Notamacropus eugenii: one gene and its partners. The protein of the gene in region 1 purifies or fractionates together with the protein of each later gene. This does not show direct contact. Links are inferred from orthologs where the notes say so. Each region holds a gene or a part of one and is shown on either strand. Other genes may lie near its edges. The genes, in order: WDR59, CASTOR1 and SESN2.

Region 1 (3,743 bases):
GATCAATCATTTAACTTTTCTGAGCCTCAGGTTCTCATCTGCAAAATGAAGGCTTGGCCTACAAGTCCCCTACAGCTTAAATCCATGATCTTATCAATCAACTGTAGTTTCAGAAGGCTCAACATAGAAAAGAATTTCCTCTTGCTCCTGGAAAGATGGAGAAAATTTAGTTCCTAATGGCTCCAACTCACACCCCTGAGACTCCCAGATGTACATCTGGGGTTCTGAACCTGGGATCCATGAAGATTTTTTAAATATTATGGTAACCGTATTTCAATGCAATTGTTTTTTAAAACATTCTGAAAAGTGGTCGATAGACTTCCTCAGACTGCCAAAGGGTCTACAACACAACCCCTGCCCTCCTGTGGGGGACTATGAATGTAGAATATTGCATCAGACTCAGGTGATTTGTTGCTTAGTTTTGCTAAACTGCTTGTTTTCTCACCTTTTTAATTTTCTTATGATAAAAACAAGTTATAAAATTTTTTTAAAATGACAATCCCTTAAGGGCAGGGACTGTCAGTCAGTCAATACACATTTATTAAGGGCCTACTATGTGCTAAGGGTTGGGGATACAAAGAAAGGTAAATGATGGTCCCTACTGTCAAGGAGTTCACAGTCTAATGGGGGTGGGAAGGAAGCAACTTGCAAATAACTACGTACAAACAAGCTACATACAAGGAAAACTGGAAACAATCAACAGAGAGAACACTAGAATTAAGAGGGAGTGTAAGGTTTAAGAAGACTAGAAAGGTAGGAGGGGCTACTACTTACAAAGGACTCTAGACTCTCCAAACAGAGAATTCTGATGCTGGAGGTATTGGGAAATCTGTGGAGTTTACTGAGTAGAGAAGTGACATGGTCAGACCTACCATTCAGAAAGACCATTTGGAGAGCTGAATACCAATTCTGCATTTTTGTCCCTAGCACCAATGTCACTACCCTGGTCAAGAAGCTCCAGAGAATCTCTACCGCCTCTGCTGTTGTTAAGTTGTGTCTGACTGACTCTCCATGACCCACTTTGGAGTTTTCCAGGCAAAGATACTGGAGTGATTTGCCATTTTCTTCCCCAACTTATTTTACAGATGAGGAAACTGAGGCAAACAGAATTAAGTGACTTGCCCAGCATCACACAGCTAGTAAGGGTCTGAGGCTGGATGTGAACTCAGGAAGATAAGTCTTCCTCACTCCAGGGCCAGCACTGTACTCACTGCACCACCTTACATCTAGGATCAAGTTTAAACCCTTCTGTAACTAACACCCACACTACCTGATTCCAACTTATCTATCCAGGTGTATTTTACATTTCCTTTACTGCCTGTGTGACTCTGAACAACTAACTTTACATGTGTCTGCCTCGGTTTCCTAATCTGTGAAAAGGGGATAACACCTGCCAAGGCTATTCTGAGGGTTCAAATGAGATGTCTGTAAAAGTTCTTTGGAAACCTGAACATGCTGGCTGTTACTATGAGGTCTACTTTCGTCCTTTTGGCTCTTCCTCAGGCAAGGCACAGTTTCTGTGCCTTTCCAAAGCACGCCCCTCTCTGCTATCTCTGCAGTTGCCAGTGCTTCCAACACCTGACAAGACTGGACGTTATTTTGTCTACATTACGTATCTCACCTACACCGGCTGTCTCCCCCAAGAGAACATAAGCTTCTCAGGGAAATGGCCTGGGCTGGTTTTTTGGTGTGCTTTTTTGGGGGGGAGGGGGAGGTCGGTGTATGCATCCCCAGCATCTAGCACAGGTTACTGCTTTAACCGGGTGATAACAGAGGTTCTGACACCCTCTGCCTCTGGGATGCCTCTCCGGGCCTCAGTTTCCTCATCTGTACAAGAATGGGGGGGGCGCTCTCTTCATCGACGATGACCACGAGAGATGACGTTAGGCAGAGGCCAGGCAGCCCTCGCTCGGAGGACTCCTGTTTTAGGTAGAAAAGGCACCGGTCGACTGAAAGATGCTTAATGAGCCCGACTCTGGGGTCCAGGATGCTGCTCCCCGGAAACAAATCCCCCTGACGAACTCTGGGGCTGGGGGAGGAGGGGGAGGGAGCGGGTCACCCAGCGAGGTGGGCGTGCGTCCTGCCGGGGCACTGGTCAGCTGAGCGGCGGTGGGCGCGGCACTGGCCTCGGGTCCCCCTCGGTAAGGCGGGGTGACAGCAGGCCTCTCCTCCAGGGGGGGATGGGCCGAGACAAGCTGGCTGCCCAGCCTCGGCTCGGCCGGCCCCACAGGCCTCCGCCCACCCGGGGCGGCTCTTCACGGAGGATCGCCGAAAGCCTCCGCGGCCGGATCCCGGTCCCTCCCTCCCCTCTCCTCCCTCGGGCCCGGCCGGCCCTCGCCACTCCCGGCCCATCGCGCCACCCGACACACCGCACCGGGGAGGAGGGGAGGCAGGGAGGCACGGGGCGCATGCTCAGACGGCCCCCTTCAGCCCACCCCACCCCCGCCGCGCACCTGGGAATCCCTAAACTCCACCACCACATTCTCGCTGCTCCACCGCGCCGCCATCTCCAGCCTAGCCGCCGCCGCCACCCCACGGCCGCCACCGCTGCCGCCACGCTCCTCCCCTCGGCCCCGCGCGCCAGGGTTTCGGCACGCAGGAGGACGCACCCTTCACCTCAGACCACCCCTTCGACGCCCCACCCATATCGCTTCTCGGACAGTCATTGGTTGTTCCCTCAGCGTTGGCTCCACCCCCATCCCTCGTGGTCTAGCGTGCACGCGCCCTGACAAACACAACCAGCCCCTCTCCTTAACCTCCCCTCCCCTCCCTGACCCAGCTTGGGCTCTTATCGCTTCCAGGTGACGTGACGTAATACGGAGGCGAAACCTCCTGGGCCCTCAGGAGCTGGAACCCCGCCCCACTCCGTTTTGCCCCAGGCTCTGTCGGGAATTGTAGTCCACGGCCCAGAGGAGTAGAAACCGTGGGCGGGGCAAAAGATGGGCAAGGAACCAGCTCAGGTTCCTTCTTCTCGATCTCCTAAAAAAACCCTGTTCAAGGATAGATACAAAGATGGATGAACAGACGGACAGATGGAAGAACAGACAGATACAAAGACTCATGGATGGATGGACGGGCGGAGGGTTGAATGGATTGAGAGATAAAAAGATAGATGTTAGAAATATGAATGGACAGGTAGGCATAAGGATGAATGGAAAGACAGATGACAGTCCCAGGCTCTGGGGCTAATTATGCCCTCCCTCCAACCATTCCCACCCATGTAGATTTCTCCTTTTATGCAGAAGACAGTTCCCCAAGCATTCTTGTAAACTACATCCCCAACGTCCTAAAAATCTGCCAGACAGCATCCAGAAAACACTATCGAACGTGATGAAAAGCTCCTGCTTTCAAGCCTTTAGTGGTCAGACTTTCTCTCTCTCTCTCTCTCTCTCTCTCTCTCTCTCTCTCTCTCTCTCTCTTTCTCTCTCTCTCCCTCTCTCTCCCTCTCTCTCTCTCTCTCTCTCTCTTTTTCTCTCTCTCCCTCTCTCTCCTTCTCTTTCCCTCTCTCCCTCTCTCTCCTTCTCTTTCCCTCTCTCTCTCTCTCTCTCTCTCTTCCTCTCTCTCCTTCTCTTTCCCTCTCTCCCTCTCTCTCCTTCTCTTTCCCTCTCTCTCTCTCTCTCTCTCTTTCTCTCTCTCTCTCTCTCAAATATAATTCCATTTAGAAGAACTTGCTATGCTTGCTTCTCATGATTTGTGAGAGGGAGCACATTTCAAACTGATTTTCTTTCCTTTGGATACTGTAC
Region 2 (3,743 bases), on another chromosome or scaffold:
ATTGGAAGCTGATAGCTTGAGGGAGTGGAGCTGTCAAGTGGAAAGTTCTGAAGCTGAGAGGACTGTGGAGAATTTGTTGATGGCTGAGAGGGAGGAGCCTGGAGAGGGTGGGGCTTGAATGGGGCACTCTCGAGGGGGCCGGGTGGGTCCTTCAGAGGGGAAGATGGGATCAGATAAAATCCCTGAGGAGAATGAAGGAGGGCTGGGGTAGAAAAGAAGGAAGATCTTATTTTGTACAAAGAGGAGGCCCTCTGCTGAGTGGGGGTGGGCAGGAGGAGAAGCCCTGGCATCCTGGGAGGCTGAAGGAGGTTTTGAACAGTCAATTAAAGACGAATAGAGAGATCAGATGCCAGCAGAGGGAGCCTAATGGGGATTAGATAACATAAATTTGATCCTTGGCCTGGGAGTCAAGAATTTTTCCTTGGTTCTATCACGTTTAGGCTCTGGGTCTGACGGAAGGGATCTGGGAGGTGGCTGGGCAAGAGGGAGATTCTTGGGGGAAGGAGGGTGGGTTTGGTCTTTATGACCCTGTGTGTGAAGAGCAGAATTCAATACTCCTTGCCTGCCCTTGGACCAATGGGAAGACCCTGGAATGCCTTCCCCTTTTCTAACCGAGAAATAGGAGAACTCTTGTCCTTGAAGGCGAAACCCATCTGCCATCTCTGGCCCATCTTCAAACACATACTGGTATATATTCCATTTTTCTCCCCCAAACTGCCTTCTTTATGGTTTTTCCTCTGGATTTTACTTTACGGATGGTATTCATCCATTTCACTTAGAATCCGCTGTGGACTGAGCTCTGGGAAGGTGGGGAAAACGTACCGATTACCGACAGTAAAAGGTGGGAGAGGGGGATCAGCACTGGAAAGAGCCCCTGGGGACCTGGATGCAGCTCTTGGGAAGCACTTTGGGGTCTTTGGCCCTTCTCCCATTCTGAGCCCCTAAAATGAGGACGTTGGGCCTGTGACCTCTGTATTTGGGTGGGAGGGAGGTTTCACACTCAGACGAGGGGGTGGGTCGGCGTGCTCCACCAGGAATCTAGTGCCCTGTGGCCCCAAGTCCGCCCCTGCCCTTATTGGAGAGGGGGAGGGTCCGTCGAACCGAGTAAGTTGGGAGAGCGGAGCTGGGGGTCTGTTCTGGGCCTGTTCTCTGCCCCCCTTCCCCAGCCACACCGTCTGGAGGCTGGATCACCCCACCTGGGTGTGGCCTGGACCACCCTGCCCAGACCGATCCTCGCGGAGCCCTTCCACTCCGAGGCAGCCTCCTAGGGTTCCTGGACGTGGCTTTGCGTGGCCCCCGGGACGCGCGTGGGGCCCGCCTCCTCACCCCGGTACTTCCACCCCTTCCAGATGGGCCAGCCGGGGGGGCGTGGCCCCGAGGCTTTGGCTAGGGTATTGGCTGAACCCCAGCGTTACGAGGCCCGGGGCGTGGCCTAGGGAGTTTCGAGGGGGCGTGACGGGGGCGGGCACTCCGGGGGCGGGGCCGAGCGGAGCCGGAGCTGGGGCAGCCTCTGGCGGAGGAGGGCCCGGGGCCTGGCGCTGGCTGGGCGGCTGAGGGGCCCGGCAGCAGCAGCCGCAGCAGCAGCAGCAGCAGCCGCAGCAGCAGCAGCCGCAGCCGCAGCCGCAGCCGCAGCCGCAGCGGCCCCCTCCCAGCTCCCAGCCCCCGGCCTCCCGGGCCCCCGATGGAGCTGCACATCCTGGAGCACCGGGTCCGGGTGCTGAGCATCGCGCGCCCCGGACTCTGGCTCTACACGCACCCGCTTGTCAAGCTGCTCTTCCTGCGCCAGCGGAGCCGGTAAGGCTGAGGCCAGAGGAGGGGGCCCCTCCCCCAGCTCGGGCTCTGGGTGGGTCTGGGGGTAAGGCTGGGGACCACCTCGCTCCCTCTCGCCTTCCAGCCCCACTATCGCCTTCGATTCCCGAGCCACCTCGGCAGGCCCTTATTATCCCCACTGTACAGAAGGGGCCACTGAGATGCGGAGAGACTGTAGTGACTTGTCCAGAGACGCCCCGAAGCCGCCCCTCCCCACCCCCCAGCTTGCTTGGACTTGTCCTTGTTCTTAGACTCGCTGTATTAACGGGGGCGGGGCGGGGGGAGGTGTTGAACGTCACTGCCTTCATGGTGGCTCTTCCAGCCCACTTGGGGCATTCTGTGAAGTCTGAGTTCAGGCACCACCTGGGCTGCATGGTAGCGGGCTGACCTTCCTTGGGCCTCACTTTGCTCTCCGGTAAAATGAGGGAGTGGGCCGCTGTGAGCTGTTCTAATCTCTAAGGGGCCTCTCAGCTCCAGCATTCTTTGGGTCAGTGGGTCAGAGGGATGAGTACCAGCAGGGGTCACCCTCGCCAGCTCTTGGGAAATTGCTTGGGAAGTGGTTCCTTCCCCTGCACTAGTAGCCAAAGGACTGGCTTGTATGCCTCCTTCCCCAGGATGGGGATTCTGGGGTGAGCTTAGGGAACAGCCGGTATCCCCTGTACCCATCATTCCCCTTCACCCTCTCCTCATGGGCAAGGGTTTCCAGAGGACCCAATCGGTTCTGCTTGACTGGAGCCTGGGCAGAGTCCACTCACTTTCTTTGAGTCTGGCCCTTCCTTTGCCATTCCTCCCTCCCCTCTGCCTCTGGACTTTGGGATCCAGGGGGGATGAGGGAGTGCCTTGCCTTGGCTCATGGAGTGGTCCCTTTTCCTTAGGTGCAAGTTTTTCAGCCTGACAGAAACCCCTGAAGATTACACCCTAATGCTGGATGAAGAAGGATACCAAGGTACTGGGTTCCAGTTTCTCCTCCTGGTCTCCTGAGGCCCTCTCCCCCAGACTCTTCCAAGGGGCACCCCTTGGCTGGCCTGTGTGGGCCAGGCACACACTGTCATCAGAATGCTTAAGACAGGTGGACCGGGGCTGGGGCAGGAGAGAAGGGTGGATGCAGCAGGGCCCAGTAAAATGGATCTGAGCAGCACCTGGGTCCCTGCCCCAGCTATCCCAGAATGGACTGGAAGTACCCTGGAGAGGGGGTGAGCCACAGTGTCCAGGACGTTCTGGGGCAGCCTTGTGGTACCTGTTCCCTTTGGATCTCAGTTCTGCTGTGGCTTTGTGATACTGGCTAAGTCACTTTCCTTTCCCAAGATTGCAGTTTCCTTTTTAGTAAAATATTAATAATAGCACACAGCTATGGGGAGCTTTAAGAGAGCGCAAAGCACTTTACCCACCAGACTCCATGTCCTGTGCCCCCTTGGGGCACGTTGGCACTGGAAGGTTCTGATAATTGCTGTTTTCAGAGGTCCCCCACATCCACCTCTGCTCCCTCCACTCCAGGGTGACATCTTGCAATCAATCCAGTATCAGCTGAGGGCCTGGGAGGTCTGGGGGGTAAATGGGAACCAGCAGGTGATGGAGACAGATGAAATGCAAGATTTTCCAAGTCTGGACCCAACACGTGGGCTAGATGTGGTGTAGATGAGCCTGATCCCTCCACTGGAAGCTGCCTGCCTTCCCCCCCCTTTCTATTTCCTGTTGTGACCTCAGAGACAGGGCCTAGGGCCTAGTGCTTGGGGGTGCTGCTTGCCCTGTGCCTTCTGCCTGGCTTAACTTCCCCACAAGGGGCCCATCCAGGAGCAGGCCCTAGGTGCCCAGGCTCTCAGTCCCAGGCACTGACCACAAATGAAGTCAGGAGAAGAATGACAAGATCTAGAGTGAAGAGAACTTCCAAAGGCATCCGGTGCAAACCTTTCTGTTTACAAATGAGGAAACTGACA
Region 3 (3,743 bases), on another chromosome or scaffold:
TCCTCCTCCAAGCCCAAATTAATCCTTTGTTCACACTCTTTTGTAAGAGTTAGTTAAGTATGTCTCCATTACGTCTCCCTGTACAGGCTTCGTTGAGTTCCTAGAGGGTGGTGATTTGATTATTTAAATCAGTGGTGTAGACCTCAAATAGAAACCCAGCCCACTAATTGGTACATAAAGACGCCTGCAGGCCACATACTGACTCAGCTTTAAACGTAATATTACTTATGTTTTGATTCGTTTTTTAAATATTTCCCAATTACATTTTAATCTGGTTTGAGATGCACTGGGGAGCGTTGCACATGAACGTTTGACACCTGCGATCTAAATCATGTGTCTGTCCCTGTCCTTTAGCCCTGCACATAATAGGTGTGGCATCAGCGATCCATTCTGTGGTTGAAGCCCCGAAATGACTGGCTGGGGGATTTGGGGCTCGGGGTCTCTAGGAGCGTTGCTTTGGAAGGACTCCAGAGCTGCTGCTCTCTTGAAAAAGTCTGATCTCCAAAGGAGAGCGGACTTCCCGGTCCTTTCAGCTTTCTCAAGACAGTAGGAATATTCATTAACTTCTCGGTCACCACAGACATCTTCCGCCGCTGACCCCGAGATTCCAAAGTTTTCCACTGGGGAGTAATTCCATCAGGTGAGGGGGCATGGCCTCCGAGAGCTCGGCCTTCCTCCTTCCCCGGCAGAGCCCTCTCCTTCCACCACCAGACACACCTGGAAGTGTGTGTGTGTGTGGGGGGGGGGGGGGGGGAGTGCTATCTGGAAGGGAGAGAAGGCTGAAGCTTTCTTTTTTTCACCTCCGGAAGGGCAGTCTCTATTACATTAGCCCTAGGAGGTCGGTGAGGTCATTCTGGGTCCTCCCTTATTAGGGAAGTTAAGATGGTACAGGGGAAAACAGGAAGGTCTCTGAGGTCCGGGGTTCAAAGCTAGTCTCCACTATTACTATGCGACCTTATGAAGTCCCTTAATCTCCTACAGCTTCAGTTTTTCCCTCGGTAAAACCCAGGAGCTTAACCCGGAGGCCCCTTCCAGGACCCTGCAGGCAGTTCTGGTCTGGATATAAAGAAGTCGGGCCCTACCTGAGGAATGCCCAGCTTAACGGATCTGGGGCATCTTTCCCCCATCCCCACAGGCCGTCAGACAGTCAGAACTGAAACTTCGGGCCAAGTTTCTGGGCAAATTTTCCGAAATGCAAACAACATTCCAAGTCCTGGAAGGAGATTCGGTCAGGAGATGGTGTGATCTGAATCAGGTGAGGTTAGTCAGGGACGGCTTCCCGGAGGAGGGGATGCCCGTGAAGCTCACACTTCAACAACGTTTTCCCGCTCACAAAGCTCTTTCCACATGACAACGAGACGAGTAAGGTAGGTCGGAGGAGCGTTTAGTTCCAAGTCACAGAAGGTCCCTGAATCCCCCAGCTAACAGGTGGCTGGGCTTATCGAACGACCACTAGTTTGGGGCTGCAAGGTTCTCTTCCTCAGCCCCCTCTTGCCCGTAGGGACCTAGGTCTCCATCAAGACCCTGAAACCGCGTGTCCACCCCTGTCCAGGCAGCATCTCGCTCTCCGGGTGGTCGGGGTTCCCATTCACTCCTTTCCGCTCATCCCCCCCCCCCCGACCCCACCGGGTCCGAGGTCTTCCCTCCCGGGGTCGTGCAGAGCGACAGGACCTGGGAGCATTGCCAAGCGCCCCGAAAGTTTCCTCCGCCGCCGCCCAGAGAGCGAAGGATTCTGCCGCCACCTCCCTGAAGGCACGGTTCCAAGACCCCCTGGGGTTCCCCAGTGGAAAATCGGGAAGGAAGCGGACAAGGTCTACTCCGACGGGCCCAGGCATGCCCAGGCTGGAAGACGGCGCCTACTGGGCAAGCCGGGCCCACTCGGGAAGCCCCTCCTCCCCCAACCCCCACTCCGTCCTAAGTAGCTGTCCAGAGCTCTTCCCCCGGGAACGAAGTCGGAGGAAGAGGAGGGGGGCAGCGGCGGCCAGTTGATGCAATCCCGGCGCCAGGTTACAGTCTGCCCCCAATTCCCAGCCCCCGATCCCCATCCCAGGGCTGAGCCGGCCGTCGAGCCTGTCCCGTGGCCAGAAGGGCTGGACTCGCGGCTGGGGAGGGGTCCGCGCCACTCACCTCCGCGGTCCCTGCGCCGCCGCACTGGGTGTAGGGGATGTAGCCCTGGATTCCGGCGCAGTTCTCCGCGTCCGCCACGATCATGGTGCCAGCCAGCGCGCACCTTCCTTGCGGGGCCCGCGGGCACGGCCGCGGGGGTACAGCGCGCGAGCGGGTCCCGGGGTGGCAGGCGCTCCCGGCGAGGTGGGGCTCTGCACCTGTCCGCAGACCCACGGTCCTGCACCGGAACGGTCCGTGGCTACCCGAGGGGCGCCCCAGCTTCTACCGTGGCCCCGGGGGGTCTTAGAATTCTAGAGTGAAGAACGTCTCGGCTACCACAGCTCACAGACATCCCCGAGCCCGACTGCCTTTAGCTTCTCTGGATCCGACCTCGGCAACTGAGACCTACCCAGACGCAGGTCGGAGGGGTGGGGAGTGAGAGGGAGGGGACACAAGCCTCAGGCTTCGGCCAATCACCTACTCATTGGTCCGGCAGGAGGCGGAGACGCCTTTCCTCCTCCAACAGCTTCTCTCGACTATCTTCCAATGGGCTCGGGGAAGCGCTGGGGGAGCTGGGAGTTGTAGTTTTACCCTGGAGGATGTTGCAAACTTTTGCAAGAGGGTTACTCATAAACAAGTAAATGAGAAACGAGAGACCGAGAGTGACAGTCCCAGATAGTCATTATGATTGCATGATGAATTGCAACTTTTTAGGGACTGGGCAGGGCATCTGGGTTTATAATTTCAAACCATTTCATGCTACAGATTTTAAATTTCTGGTGAGGTTATTTAGGGTCCCTGGATGGCTTTTCGAGGTGACTGTTTATAATGAGCATTGCTGGAGCTAATTATAGGTCTGAACCCGAGGGAGTTTTAAAAGGTCTTTCAGAATATTCACTTTGCCCTCAAGCAGCCCCGCACCTTCAAACATACCAGACAAAAGAGAATCCAGCCTGTATCTGAAGTTCTGCAGAAAGGATTTCATAACTTCCTTAAGAAATTCATTCGGGTGCCTAATTTCAGCCTCTCTTGCTGGAGTTTCAGTCTTTCCCCACTCCTTTATTCTCCTTTACCAGTCTGCACTATCTGACACTATATTTAACGGTATTTAATCACCCGTTGCTCCTTTAATCACTCACTCAATCAATAAATATTTGCTGCATTCCTCTAAGTGCCAGGGCACCAAGTTTGAAACTCTTCTCCCTTGTTCAAGACATGGAACTATCTTGGTTTTCCCATCTACCAGTTGATGACCCTTTTTCCTCTCCTTATATAGATTCCCCTCTTTGATTTCCTCCTCACCCAGAAAAGGGGGCATTTCTCCTAAACTTCTGGCCATGACCTTCTCTCTCTAGGAAAGGAAGGATAGAGATGGGGGAGGGCAACGATGCAATACTATTCCTGAGTTACATTTTCCCCAACTCTCACAGGAACCCACCACCCCAGCCCAGCAGCTGAGATATGAAATGGCAGCTAGCCCTTTAAATTTAGCACAGATGGAGGCAGAAGGCATCTAGGCAGGAATGCTCTCTTTAGGGACTTGGATGACATTGGGGGAGTAGGGAAAGCAACTAGGTTACTGACACCTCCCATTTCAGTTTGGGGGTCCTTACTTCTCAAGCTGCTCCTAGCACCTC

The links.
Region 2: the proteins of WDR59 (region 1) and CASTOR1 purify together in Homo sapiens (affinity purification with mass spectrometry; 3 studies listed by BioGRID and IntAct, counting the BioPlex papers as one, with this or other methods). This does not show direct contact. The link is inferred for Notamacropus eugenii from reciprocal best matches to the Homo sapiens genes WDR59 and CASTOR1.
Region 3: the proteins of WDR59 (region 1) and SESN2 purify together in Homo sapiens (affinity purification with western blotting; 4 studies listed by BioGRID and IntAct, with this or other methods). This does not show direct contact. The link is inferred for Notamacropus eugenii from reciprocal best matches to the Homo sapiens genes WDR59 and SESN2.

What each region holds. Positions count from the first base shown.
Region 1 is NC_092872.1:713,210,939-713,214,681, reverse strand, and holds the start of WDR59 (GATOR2 complex protein WDR59), read right to left. Parts: upstream 2,646-3,743; 5' UTR 2,508-2,645; coding exon 2,454-2,507; intron 1-2,453. UniProt on the Homo sapiens protein: As a component of the GATOR2 complex, functions as an activator of the amino acid-sensing branch of the mTORC1 signaling pathway. The GATOR2 complex indirectly activates mTORC1 through the inhibition of the GATOR1 subcomplex.
Region 2 is NC_092875.1:15,132,946-15,136,688, forward strand, and holds the start of CASTOR1 (cytosolic arginine sensor for mTORC1 subunit 1), read left to right. Parts: upstream 1-1,499; 5' UTR 1,500-1,681; coding exon 1,682-1,794; intron 1,795-2,684; coding exon 2,685-2,755; intron 2,756-3,743. UniProt on the Homo sapiens protein: Functions as an intracellular arginine sensor within the amino acid-sensing branch of the TORC1 signaling pathway. As a homodimer or a heterodimer with CASTOR2, binds and inhibits the GATOR subcomplex GATOR2 and thereby mTORC1.
Region 3 is NC_092876.1:69,382,253-69,385,995, reverse strand, and holds the start of SESN2 (sestrin-2), read right to left. Parts: upstream 2,510-3,743; 5' UTR 2,212-2,509; coding exon 2,128-2,211; intron 1,162-2,127; exon of another isoform or gene 1,128-1,161; coding exon of another isoform or gene 1,083-1,127; intron 1-1,082. UniProt on the Homo sapiens protein: Functions as an intracellular leucine sensor that negatively regulates the mTORC1 signaling pathway through the GATOR complex. In absence of leucine, binds the GATOR subcomplex GATOR2 and prevents mTORC1 signaling.